2 linked regions of the Arabidopsis thaliana genome follow. The protein of the gene in region 1 interacts with the protein of each later gene in a pairwise test. Each region holds a gene or a part of one and is shown in the gene's direction. Other genes may lie near its edges.

Region 1 (4,616 bases):
ACACATGCACAATTCGAGTCATTAACTTTTGGCGTCAACTTGCTGCTTCTGTAAGTACAAAGCTTAATTGCTATACAAAAATAAATTGAGGAGAACAGATAAATATCAAAGACATCTCGACCGAACCTAATCAATCCAACAAAATTCTACATACTCGATATCCAAATTTAGCAAGATCTATGCGATTCAAGTGTCTTGAGGCATAAAAGCAATCACAGTGAATAATCGAATTTGAAGTCAGGATCAACAAACAAATACTAACAAACTAGATCTAGGCATACCTATATAGAGGCTGGGATCTTCGTTCTTCAATTCATGTTAAAGAATTTAATAGCCATCATCTTCCAAAAAAAGAGTAACTAGGGTAGAAAAAATAATCGAAAACATAATTCAAAATAAAATATAATTATGAATCTAGAATTTCAAGTCTATTTTAAAACCTCTATAAATTAATATTCGATAAATTAATAACCTCTATAAATTAATAAATTCTTCCTGTCCCGAGTTGGGACCAGTGTATAAATGTATACAAATCGATAAATTAATAAGATAATAATTTTTTTGAAAATCCTATGTAAATATATGGTCTCATCAATATTATGTAAAACTTAGTAAAATATGACTTTAGTATTATTTTTCTTCAATTTATATAATTTATATTAATTCTGTGTAAAATTTAATTCTAATTATTTTACTACGTATAAAAAAGTTTTTTTTTTGTTTTAAACATAATAAAGGTTTTCTACTTGTAATTGATTTTTAGAAAAATTATTGAGTGTATAGAGAAACTACCTTTTAGATCAAATTTTTGTAAAAAATTACAAATTTGTAAAATATCTCCATAAATTAATAATTATTAATTTATCGATAAATTAATATCTCTCTAAATTAAAAAAAATTTTGGTCCTGACATTATTAATTTATAGAGGTTTTACTGTAGTTACAAACTGCGCATGGTTTGTCAAATTCTAAAACATGCTTTGTTTATTTTGAAAATAAAATAAAATGATACTAGATGAAACAAATATAATGAAAAGGATATTTACCAATTGATTATTCTTATATTTCCATATTTTTTTATTTTAGCTACTATTTTTGAAAACTTCCATTAACTCTTTCACTAAGAGCTGTGATAGTACACAAAAAAAAAAGCTGTGATTCAAGTTTTTCTACTCATAAAATATGTCTTTGATTTTTTGTAGTAATTATAGGCCGTAGGCCAATCTTTCAATATCATACACGTAGGCACGGGCTAGTGCTGGCCCAAATTGGAGATGGTCTTAGTGGTTAGAAACGAATGTTTAAATTCTTAATTAACTTTTGTAAAACACCAGATAGTTTGTAATATACGACGAGATAGTTGAAACTTATGTCCAAAAAAGAAACAAAAGAAAGAGAGTATGTTCATATAGTAATAGGGAAAAGAAAGAAATATAACCGTTGGTGATTAGTCATTTAGTTGGATGACAAATCTCTCTCACCTTCACATGGACCAACGGCTTCTATGTCCCACCAATTTGTACTCTCAATCTCCTTTACCTTATTTATTCATTACACCAAAGCTACGACACGACATGGCTTTTGTTTTATTTTCATTATATTTATGTTATTTAATGTTACAGTACATACAATATTTAGCTTTTATGTCATGCATTGGTTATTAGTATTTTGTATTACTAGTAAGATTGAAAACGGTTTTAAGAATGTAGGAGTGTGTTTCACAAAATTGAGAGTATTGCAATTACATGAGAGTGTTCAGACTTCAGAGTATTACAAACCTAACAAACCTGGATATTGTGATATGACTGGCTTTTAGGTTTTGTAGGTCTCCCATTTGATTATAAACAAAATGTATTTATTACCTATATTCCAAAAGTACCCTTATGTTCCATGTTCTCTTCTTATAAAGCAACACACAAGATGCAAGAAATCTCCATAACTAGAGAGAGAAACTAATCTTTTTAGTGAGAGAGAAATCTTAGAGCTGAGCTAAGAAAAATGTCAAAAGAAGTGAGTGAAGAAGGAAGACATGGCAAAGACTACGTGGATCCACCTCCAGCTCCACTTCTAGACATGGCTGAGCTTAAGCTCTGGTCTTTTTACAGAGCTATCATCGCAGAGTTCATCGCCACTCTCCTCTTCCTCTATGTAACCGTAGCTACAGTCATTGGCCACAAGAACCAAACCGGTCCTTGTGGCGGTGTTGGTTTACTCGGCATTGCGTGGGCCTTTGGTGGCATGATCTTTGTCCTCGTCTATTGCACCGCCGGTATCTCCGGTAAATATTTCCACAAAAACCACAAAAATTTCCATAAACTTCAGTTTCAAGATCTTAATATGAAGTTGTTTAGCAATGATACATTTATAATTCAAAGATACATTTTTAGCAAGTTTTTGTTTGGTAAAATACCTTTTTAGCAAGTTGGTAAAATATTTCAACAAAACTTTATCCTAAAATTACTAAACCTTAATCTTCAACAACTTAATATGGAGTTGTTAACTTGCAGGAGGTCACATTAACCCAGCTGTGACATTTGGTCTGTTCTTGGCTCGTAAAGTGTCGCTCCCTAGAGCAGTTGCTTACATGGTGGCTCAGTGTCTTGGAGCCATTTGTGGAGTTGGACTCGTTAAGGCCTTTATGATGACTCCATATAAACGTCTCGGAGGCGGAGCTAACACCGTAGCTGATGGTTATAGCACCGGAACTGCTCTTGGTGCTGAGATTATTGGCACATTTGTCTTGGTTTACACTGTCTTCTCCGCCACTGACCCCAAAAGAAGTGCCCGTGACTCTCACGTCCCGGTTAGTAAAACTTTGCAAACCAGTTTTGTATAATTTATAATTATTCTAAAGCTGAATTTTTTACTGTTCTTTCATGGTTTCAAAATGTGATTGTGTAATTTCTAAAAATAGTTATTCTTTTCTAAATTTTTCATAGATTTCATGATGGGTTTTTCTTTACTGTTTTTTCATGATTGAAATTTTTGAACATATTTCTAGGTATTTAGGTTTGTGTAGTTAATAAACTTGAATTTTTCTGAATATTTATCGTAGGGTTTGACATGGATTTTTGTAATTTTTAACAAGTTGAATTCTTTTGAATTTTTTTTCTTATGATTTCACATGGGTTTGTTTAATTTCTGAAAAAGTCTTTTGAATATTTTTATTTTTATAGGTTTTGGCTCCGTTACCTATAGGGTTTGCTGTGTTCATGGTGCATTTGGCTACTATCCCCATAACTGGAACTGGGATTAATCCAGCCAGAAGCTTTGGTGCTGCTGTTATCTACAACAATGAGAAAGCTTGGGACGACCATGTAAATATAGTTCTCTCTCATTAACAATCAATTTACTTATTTTTTTGTTGAATAATTACTAATTAAGTTTTGGGTTAATGGATTTGAATTTTTAGTGGATCTTTTGGGTTGGACCATTCGTGGGAGCATTAGCAGCAGCAGCATACCATCAATATATCTTGAGAGCTGCAGCAATCAAAGCTTTGGCTTCATTCCGCAGCAACCCAACCAATTGATGATTCATGAGACTTCTTAGAACAATTTGAGATCTTTTTTTTTGTGTGCTTAATGAGAGATATTTGTGTGTTTTAATTTGATGTAATCGGATTTATTCATTTTCATAGTTTAATTTGGTTTAATTCATCTTTGTCCGTTGCTTTCTTTCATGTAGGGCATCTTATGATTCACTTTTATACTTTAGTACGAATTAAAACATTTGTTACAAGTTTATATGAACCCACATGCATGTTCGTATAAAACATTCCTTGGTGTTTTTGTCTTATGTTACTTGATTCTTCTTATCCGGTGGTCGGATCATAAACCACTCACATATGACATATTGACACATGTTCCTTAGTTAGAATAATAATAGACTATAATAGCTAAAGCCTTGGGGCATGCAATAAGGATTGGAGTTTAGCAATAAGCATTATCACGTCTCGTCTTTTCAGAATTGTAGAGACAGAGAAGTGTGTGTGGTCCTTCTGATAAAGAGGTCAAAAATTTCGAAAAGGGCTCGAAAGCAGACGGAGATGAAGAGAAAAAGATAAAGGACCACCACACTAAAGGGTCCACACTCTTCACCATAGACCACTTTACACATTAGTCTATCCATCTCGATAATAACCGGAATTCGTACCCAAACCTTAAATTTAAGCAGATTTCTTCAAAACATTTTCTTTTACCAAAGTTGTGTGTCCTCGAGTTTGGCTACATCAGCTGATTCTATTTTTGACAAAGAAACAAAGAGAAAAAGTAAAAAGCTAAAACTTTTTTCTTGTTACCGTTTGTTCTCTCTAGCGAGAGCTGGTACAGAAATTTTGTTTGAATTTCAAAGTGGGCTAAAGAAACGTTCATTCTACAATTTAGTTCTCTCAAGAAGGATAATTTAAGGACAATTAATCAGACAACAGCATAGTTTACTTTCGAACCAGAAATCCATTCCCTTGTTTCCAACATGTGAGCTCAAGTAGCTTAGTCGGGTAATGCAGTTCCTCGTTCCAAGTTGTTTTTGATCTCCAGCGTGTATTTCCCAAACGCACGCTCGATTTTCTTGTTGAAATGCTCGTTTCTGTCGTTGATGGAATCGATATCCTTCTC
Region 2 (6,800 bases), on another chromosome or scaffold:
TAAATTAACGCACACAATAGGAACAAAAGCCTTTTTCTTCTGGTTTTCTCCAACAGGTGCATCTAGATTCCTAGTATCATATCGCTTGCTTAACCTTTGGTAATACTCTGTACTGCCTTTATAAGGATCCCTATCTGCCACATAAATTTCTGCTTCTGCCGCAGTCATCTTTAATTCTGCACCCCACCATATTGGTATGGTGCCACGTCGCCAAATGTACGAGTTGAAAGCAATGCTTTGACCATTTCTTTTAGGTATCCATACAAGCTGCTCACACTCAACTTCGTTACCTGCACTACACATATACTTCTAAATTAGGCCCTAGTCAATCCAGAGCCACACTTTTTAAGAGAACAACAAAGAAATTAAGAGAGAGGAGCATTTTAGGGGGGCATGTCACCTGTGCCAGAACATGAATTAATGCCCCTAGCTAGGTAACGAGTCCCTGGATGCAGTCTGCTACGACGGGCCATTAGAGCAACAATCCCTTCTAGCTGGCCTGAGCTCCCAAAAGGTCGATATTCTGCAAACCCCTATAATTAACATCAAATAAGAAGATGATGTCATATCAATTTATATGCTTTTGAATCTTCACACAAAACCGAAATCGGATAGGTAGATCAACCTTCATCAATTCATTAATGGAGGACGAACCTGCAGAAGAATGACACAGTGTTCAGGTAGCCCAATATTCTTAAAAGGCACGGACAACCATCTATTCCAAACAAATTCATCATCAGGGCTTTGAAGTGGCATACGGCTTGGGAAGGGCCGAGTGATGTCTCTAGTATCACAGAAATAGTGCTTCCCGTCGATGTCAAGCTCAGTCAACTCCTGAATATTCTTGGTTTCACCTTTCCCTTGAGGCTGTGGATTGTAGAGTGGTATTTTGACCCATTGACTCTCAGCCACTGTATATACACATCCACCACCAGGCAAATCTGGAATACTTGGATTTAGCCTGGTCGCAACTAAAAGCATCCCAAAGCTCCCCAAGACAGCATAACCGAGTATTGCCCTGGCATAAACAGAGCTTCTAACACCTCCTCTTGATCCATTCGTAATATAATCTAAGGCTTCACGCTCTGACTTAAAATTATCAAGGCCAGGCTTCCCATTGTACCGCAGGATACCAGTCGTAGGATCGATATAGATAACTTGAGTATCAGCCTTAGATAACAAACTTGCAATGACATAGACTTCACCAGTGTCTAAGGTGACAACAACTACAGATGTCTTTTTTGAACCACCTACACCAAGAAGATAAGAAAATTAGCCAACCAAATGATGAAAACAGCTAGAGTGAAAAAAAAAAACACTTGAATCTTCAAAAAGAAACTAACCTGGTGGATGCAGATCCATCTGAGCTCAGGACCAAGCGGACCAGGTGCCCTCTTTGACAGCTTCAGGGACCAAGATATCAATGTGGAACCAAAAATCTAGCAAAAAGTCAACGAAATAAGGAACTTCCATCAGAGAAATAAAAAGCAATGGAATCCAAAAAATGTAGCATAGTTAGTTCTATACTTAAAACGATTCATCAACGCCAATTAAAATCAAAACAGAGAGATCATCTTCCTAACAATAATCTCCGATATAACTGAGACAAAAGATCAGAATTTTCTCACAAATTTCGATAGAAGTAATAAAAAAAACGAGTACCAGAGATCTGAGACTTTTTCCGAGAATAGCAAAATTAAAGACGCAAATCGATAATTCAAATTCCGAGAAAGCAGAAAGATAAATTCTTCAGAGAACCCGAATCGAATCATAAGTCATAAGAGAAGGAACTCACCTTGAAGTTGTAGAGATGATCAGATGCAAAATTTACCAAGTCGTTCGTAGACGAACAAACGAAGAGGAAGAAGAGTAAATCTGCTGTTACCCAACACACAGTACAAAAACAATCATAGTACGACACGTGTGAATCTGTTTAATTGATTTATGAAAAAAGAGAAGAAATTATTGATAACTTGAAAATTGGTCCAATTAGTTTTAAAATGTAACGAATAGACCCAATCAAAAGAAAAGACAAAATAAAGTATAGAGATGATGAATTAACGGCTTTGGACAAGCCACACGATTCGCTTTGCTTATCTTGCTCCACCCAATCCAAATTGAGACACAATCTCTATCGAATCCACGCGCCTCTATCTTTTTTCAATCGAGTCGCCATTAACATATTTCATCAAGCTCAGTCCACTCTTCTCATGAAACTTCATCATCATCGACCTTGACCCTGATAGGTTATTAAAGTTACTGCATTTGATCTCTCTTTGAACTGCTTCTGTTGTTCAAGGTTCCAAACATGCTCAGACTCAGTAATTGAATAATGGGTATTCTTGTTGCAGGTTTCAGACGACACCCATTATTGTAAATCTGCTGCTGGAGTCTTTTTTGTCTGAATCTTCTTCTTGTTGAGACACTGTTTCTTCTTGGTCTGTGATTTTTGTTTTGTTCTCATTAGGACGTTCTTTATTCCGGTTCAGATTTACTGGATCGTCATTTTCTCTTTGAAATTGTATTTTTTTGTTCCTTTTCTGGTATGTTGTGAAAGCTATGAGATTGCTGTAAGAATCCAAGACTGACCAACATGTTTCCCCTGTGCTCGGCCACAAGCTGCCGTTACCATTCTCAGGTTAGATTTTCTTTATAGAAGTGAAAGTAAATAAGCTAACTGGTAGCAAATTTATTGAAGTCATCCAATTTGAGCTATGGGTGTTACGCTTTGTTAGTGCTTTGGGTTTTTGGATTCATTTTCATAGATAAGTAAGTACCTCATAACGGGTTTGTTTCTGCAGATTTTATTTCCTGGCAATTGGCGAGGCTGTTCTTCCTTCAGGAGAGAGTTGATTCACAGATACAGTTCAGGTGACAATGCCTTCTTTGGTATCTCTAATGGAACACGCCTGCAGAAGAGTTTCGTACCTCAAGCCACTGGGAGTTTCTTGACCGGTACTATCGAAAAAACAGAACAACCAGTATCAACATTCGGAAGTTTGTGCCAGAATGAGTTGGACAGAATAAACTACATGGTTTATAACATGAGTGAAGCTTTTGTAGCGAGTGATGAGGGACTGACATATGTAGAAAATGGAGAAGATGTGTTCCCTGTTGAAGCTGTTGCAGCAGATGTTTCTCCTGTTGAAGCTGTTGTACCAGATGTTTCCCCCATTGAATGCCTTTCTGCTGAGACTTTAACCGATAAGACCAGTAGCCTTATAGACTCTGTTGAATCGGGAACCAATGCGACTGTTAAAATATCTCCGGATAGTTCAGTCTCACTTCCTGATGCGAAAGCTAGCTTTGATGACTTTTCTTCTGGGCTCAAGCAGTCCTTCAGCTCTTCACTTCCTGATGCGAAAGCTAGCGTTGATGACTTTTCTTCTGGGGTCAAGGAGTCCTTCAGCTCTTCACTTAACCAAGGAGAAAATGCTGTAAAGAACACTTTGGAGTCCTTCTCCTCGTCTGTGACATCCATTACAAAGAATGCTTCTGAAGTTGTAGATAGTGCAGTTAACAGAGCGTTTTCTACGCTAGACCAAACGGGAGATGTAGCTGGAGACAAGTTTTCGAGTTTTTCTACTGGCTTGAAGGAAGCTTCAAACAGAGCAGCTGTTATTGCCATTGATCTGCTGAGGCAATCAGTTAGTCTTGGAGAGAGATCTGTAACAAATGGAGTTTCTTTTGTTGTGTACTCTTATGGATCAGCAAAAGAATTACTTCCTCCAGATGTAAAGAGTGCCCTTAACTCGTCAGAAGATGTTGCTCTAAAAGTATTGAGTCCCGTGGGAGCTGTATTGCAGCAGGTGCTTTGTCTTATATACTGAAGGTTCATTCATATTTTCGTAGAAGAAAATTAATTCTTTATGGACTACAGTTGCTAACAGTATCATGATGAACAGGTATCTGTTGCCATTGGAGGTTTGGAGAGAAATATCGGTTTGGATCCAGATGACCCAATCCTTCACCTTTTTCTCTTCGTAGGCACCACAGGAACCTTTTGGTACACGGCTTTTCTTACCCTAGAAGGATATTAAACTTGCTTTTCTTGAGAGGACAATGTAGTATAGAAGAATTTATATTTTCCACCAGATATTTGCAGGGTTCTATATCGGGTTTGGACATATGGTGGATATGCTGGAGATTTGTCTCCCAAGTCAACTCTGGACCTTTTAAAATCAAGAGACAAGTCAGTGCTCATAGATGTCAGGCCTGAAGTAAGACGCTCTTAAGTTTCTAACAAGTTCCCATTTCATGATATATAACTTTTCAAAACCCACCACAATTTGATTATTTCTTTCACATAATGTTCATCAAGGAGTTTGGGTTGAAATAAAAATGCTCATTTTGGCTACTGTCTTTTTGAAGGCCTTGAGAGAGAAAGATGGAATACCTGATCTGCGGAGATCAGCTCGATTTCGATATTCTAGCGTGACACTGCCTGAGGTTGGTTTTAGCATCCTCATTGTTGTTGACCACAGCGAATATAGAAACTCTACACATGTAATCTATGAACACAACGAGGTTTCAGCAATCAGTGCAACAGAAGTAGGATATCAGACTTTTCTTTATTCACATTTTTTATGGGTTCTTGTTCTTGATTCATGTTTAAGGTTGACGGTGATGTCAAACGGCTACTGAAAGGTGGAAGTGAAGTAGATGATATCTTGACAGCAGTAATCATCAAGAACTTGAAAATAGTTCAGGTGTGCTACCTTCATGCTTCTTTTGTAACTTACTATGGTTTTGTGGCTCGAGCTGTTTCAGTTTCTAAGTATGCTGACATCTCATAATTTTGCTTACTCTCCCACTAATAGGACAGGTCCAAGGTTGTTGTTATGGATGCTGATGGAACTCGTTCAAAGGGTATTGCAAGAGCCCTGAGAAAAGTTGGGATTAAGGCAAGTCATTCAGGCATAATTCACTTTGAACACAATAAGTTACCTTTAAACATTTTCGAATAAGCTCTTCTTTGGTTGCCTATGATGTGACAGAGGCCATACTTGATGCAAGGTGGGTATAGATCATGGGTACAGGAAGGTCTTCGTGTGAAAGAGCCAAAACCTGAGACAACACTTACCATCCTCAACGAGGTAATACCATATGAATACAAATATGTTTGGACTGTTTCTTCAGCTAGATGAAATTGAAACTGCTCTCAAATCTTTTCATCAGTAAGTTAAACATATCTTAAATGCTTTTCAGGAAGCTGAGGCGATTTTTGAGGACATAAATCCCTCTCCATTGCAACTATTTGGAGTTGGTGTGGTATGCTTCTAGTTCTATTTTTCTATTTCCGTTTAATAATAATCCCATCCTGACTAATATAAGAAGATATATGCAGGGTTTTTTCGCAGCATTGTATGCTTTGTCTGGTGCGTTTAATTCTTTCTCATTTCCCCTTTAGAATATCTCATATTCTCCACAACACACAAGCTCCTCACATCCACGTTTTGCACTAACATGATTGCTCTATCTCTCGCAGAGTGGGAGAAAACACTGCAACTCATAGCTGTCATCGGCCTTAGTCTGGTATATACTAGCCTTTCCAGTTTCTAAGTTTTGTCAAATTATAGTTGCTTTGTTTTGTTTTTCAAGTTTCAAACATTATGCAGACTATATACCTACGACTTTCTTCATATGATGACTCCGAAGACTTCAAACAAGACGTCAGGTATAAAAGCGCCATCATTAGACCCTTTTTCCATAGCAAAAACTCAGCGAAACCTCTGTTCTGTCTTAACAAAGATTGTTTCATCTTCTTCTTCAAGGCTGTTGCTTGCACCTGTGAAACTCGGAGCTCAGGCTTTCTCGTGGGCTGCAGGAAAACTAGAAACAAATGGTGTTGGCCTCCCAACTTCGCCTTCTTCTTCAGATGTTCGAAGCCGGGTTTTGCAAGCTGCTGCTAAGCATGAATCGAAACCCTCTGATGAAACTTCTGAAAGTCTCCAAGATGCATCATCGTCACCAGAAGAAGCTTTGAACAACGTTGATGTCTCCGAAGCGTAAAGACTCTGAAAATTGTTTTCTATTTTTCTTATAATTGCCAAGAATTACTTTTGTTCGTCTCTTGGAACCGTTAACATCGGCAACAGAAAAAGTGTAATAAAAAAAAACTGTTTTCTTTTCGTTCGGATGCTGAGATTTGTTTTGCAAATTTAGAACTAGCTAAATTGGGTCAAAAGTTATAGGTTACACGTAAAATTATTACAGCAATTTCTCCCCTAATAACTTTGGGCTTTAGGCCCAATAACAGAAGGCCTTAAAGTGGCATACTTAGGGTTTAGTGAAAAAGCAATCGTCATCCTTGACTCAGGGGTCAGGTCAAATCCAGGAGAAGAAGAGGTAATCATTCTACACAGATAGAAACATTTATTTTTTGTTTAATCAAAAGCTAACATTTTGTTGTGACAGTTCTCGTGTTTTCTTAATATAGATGGCAAGACTGATAATCGTGCCAGAATCCGTCTTATTAATCAAGACAAGAACAAATACAACACTCCAAAGTATCGGTTTGTTGTTAGATTTGTATCCTTTTAATTAGTTCATCACATTCCCAGTTGTTAGTGGTGTCTGTTTACATTCTTCCTATCGAGTTTTGTTTGGCCTTGAATGTGAGGAAAGCTAACTTGATTGACCGTATTCGTACACTTCACTCAGCTGCTGAAGCCATATCAATGAAGTTGACGACGAGTGAAAACGTTTCTTCTCTTTAAAAAACTGTATTTCCATCTAGTTTTGATCTTACTTTCGTGGCTTTGAATTTTTACTTTTCATATAGCATCGTTATATTACTC

What was found.
Region 2: the proteins of PIP2;8 (region 1) and AT3G59780 interact in a protein complementation assay, tested with the Arabidopsis thaliana proteins (one large-scale study listed by BioGRID).

The regions. Positions count from the first base shown.
Region 1 is NC_003071.7:7,299,649-7,304,264, forward strand, and holds PIP2;8 (plasma membrane intrinsic protein 2;8), read left to right. Parts: upstream 1-1,685; 5' UTR 1,686-1,998; coding exon 1,999-2,278; intron 2,279-2,507; coding exon 2,508-2,803; intron 2,804-3,176; coding exon 3,177-3,317; intron 3,318-3,412; coding exon 3,413-3,532; 3' UTR 3,533-3,861; downstream 3,862-4,616. Other genes in the region: AT2G16860 (GCIP-interacting family protein), read right to left, coding at 4,491-4,616. UniProt on the Arabidopsis thaliana protein: Aquaporins facilitate the transport of water and small neutral solutes across cell membranes.
Region 2 is NC_003074.8:22,084,313-22,091,112, forward strand, and holds AT3G59780 (Rhodanese/Cell cycle control phosphatase superfamily protein), read left to right. Parts: upstream 1-2,020; 5' UTR 2,021-2,246; intron 2,247-2,351; 5' UTR 2,352-2,593; coding exon 2,594-2,638; intron 2,639-2,801; coding exon 2,802-3,809; intron 3,810-3,905; coding exon 3,906-4,006; intron 4,007-4,105; coding exon 4,106-4,220; intron 4,221-4,371; coding exon 4,372-4,449; intron 4,450-4,616; coding exon 4,617-4,709; intron 4,710-4,820; coding exon 4,821-4,904; intron 4,905-4,997; coding exon 4,998-5,096; intron 5,097-5,208; coding exon 5,209-5,271; intron 5,272-5,347; coding exon 5,348-5,378; intron 5,379-5,488; coding exon 5,489-5,535; intron 5,536-5,618; coding exon 5,619-5,677; intron 5,678-5,774; coding exon 5,775-6,012; 3' UTR 6,013-6,217; downstream 6,218-6,800. Other genes in the region: SAC9 (sacI homology domain-containing protein / WW domain-containing protein), read right to left, coding at 1-290, 401-533, 655-1,250, 1,344-1,362.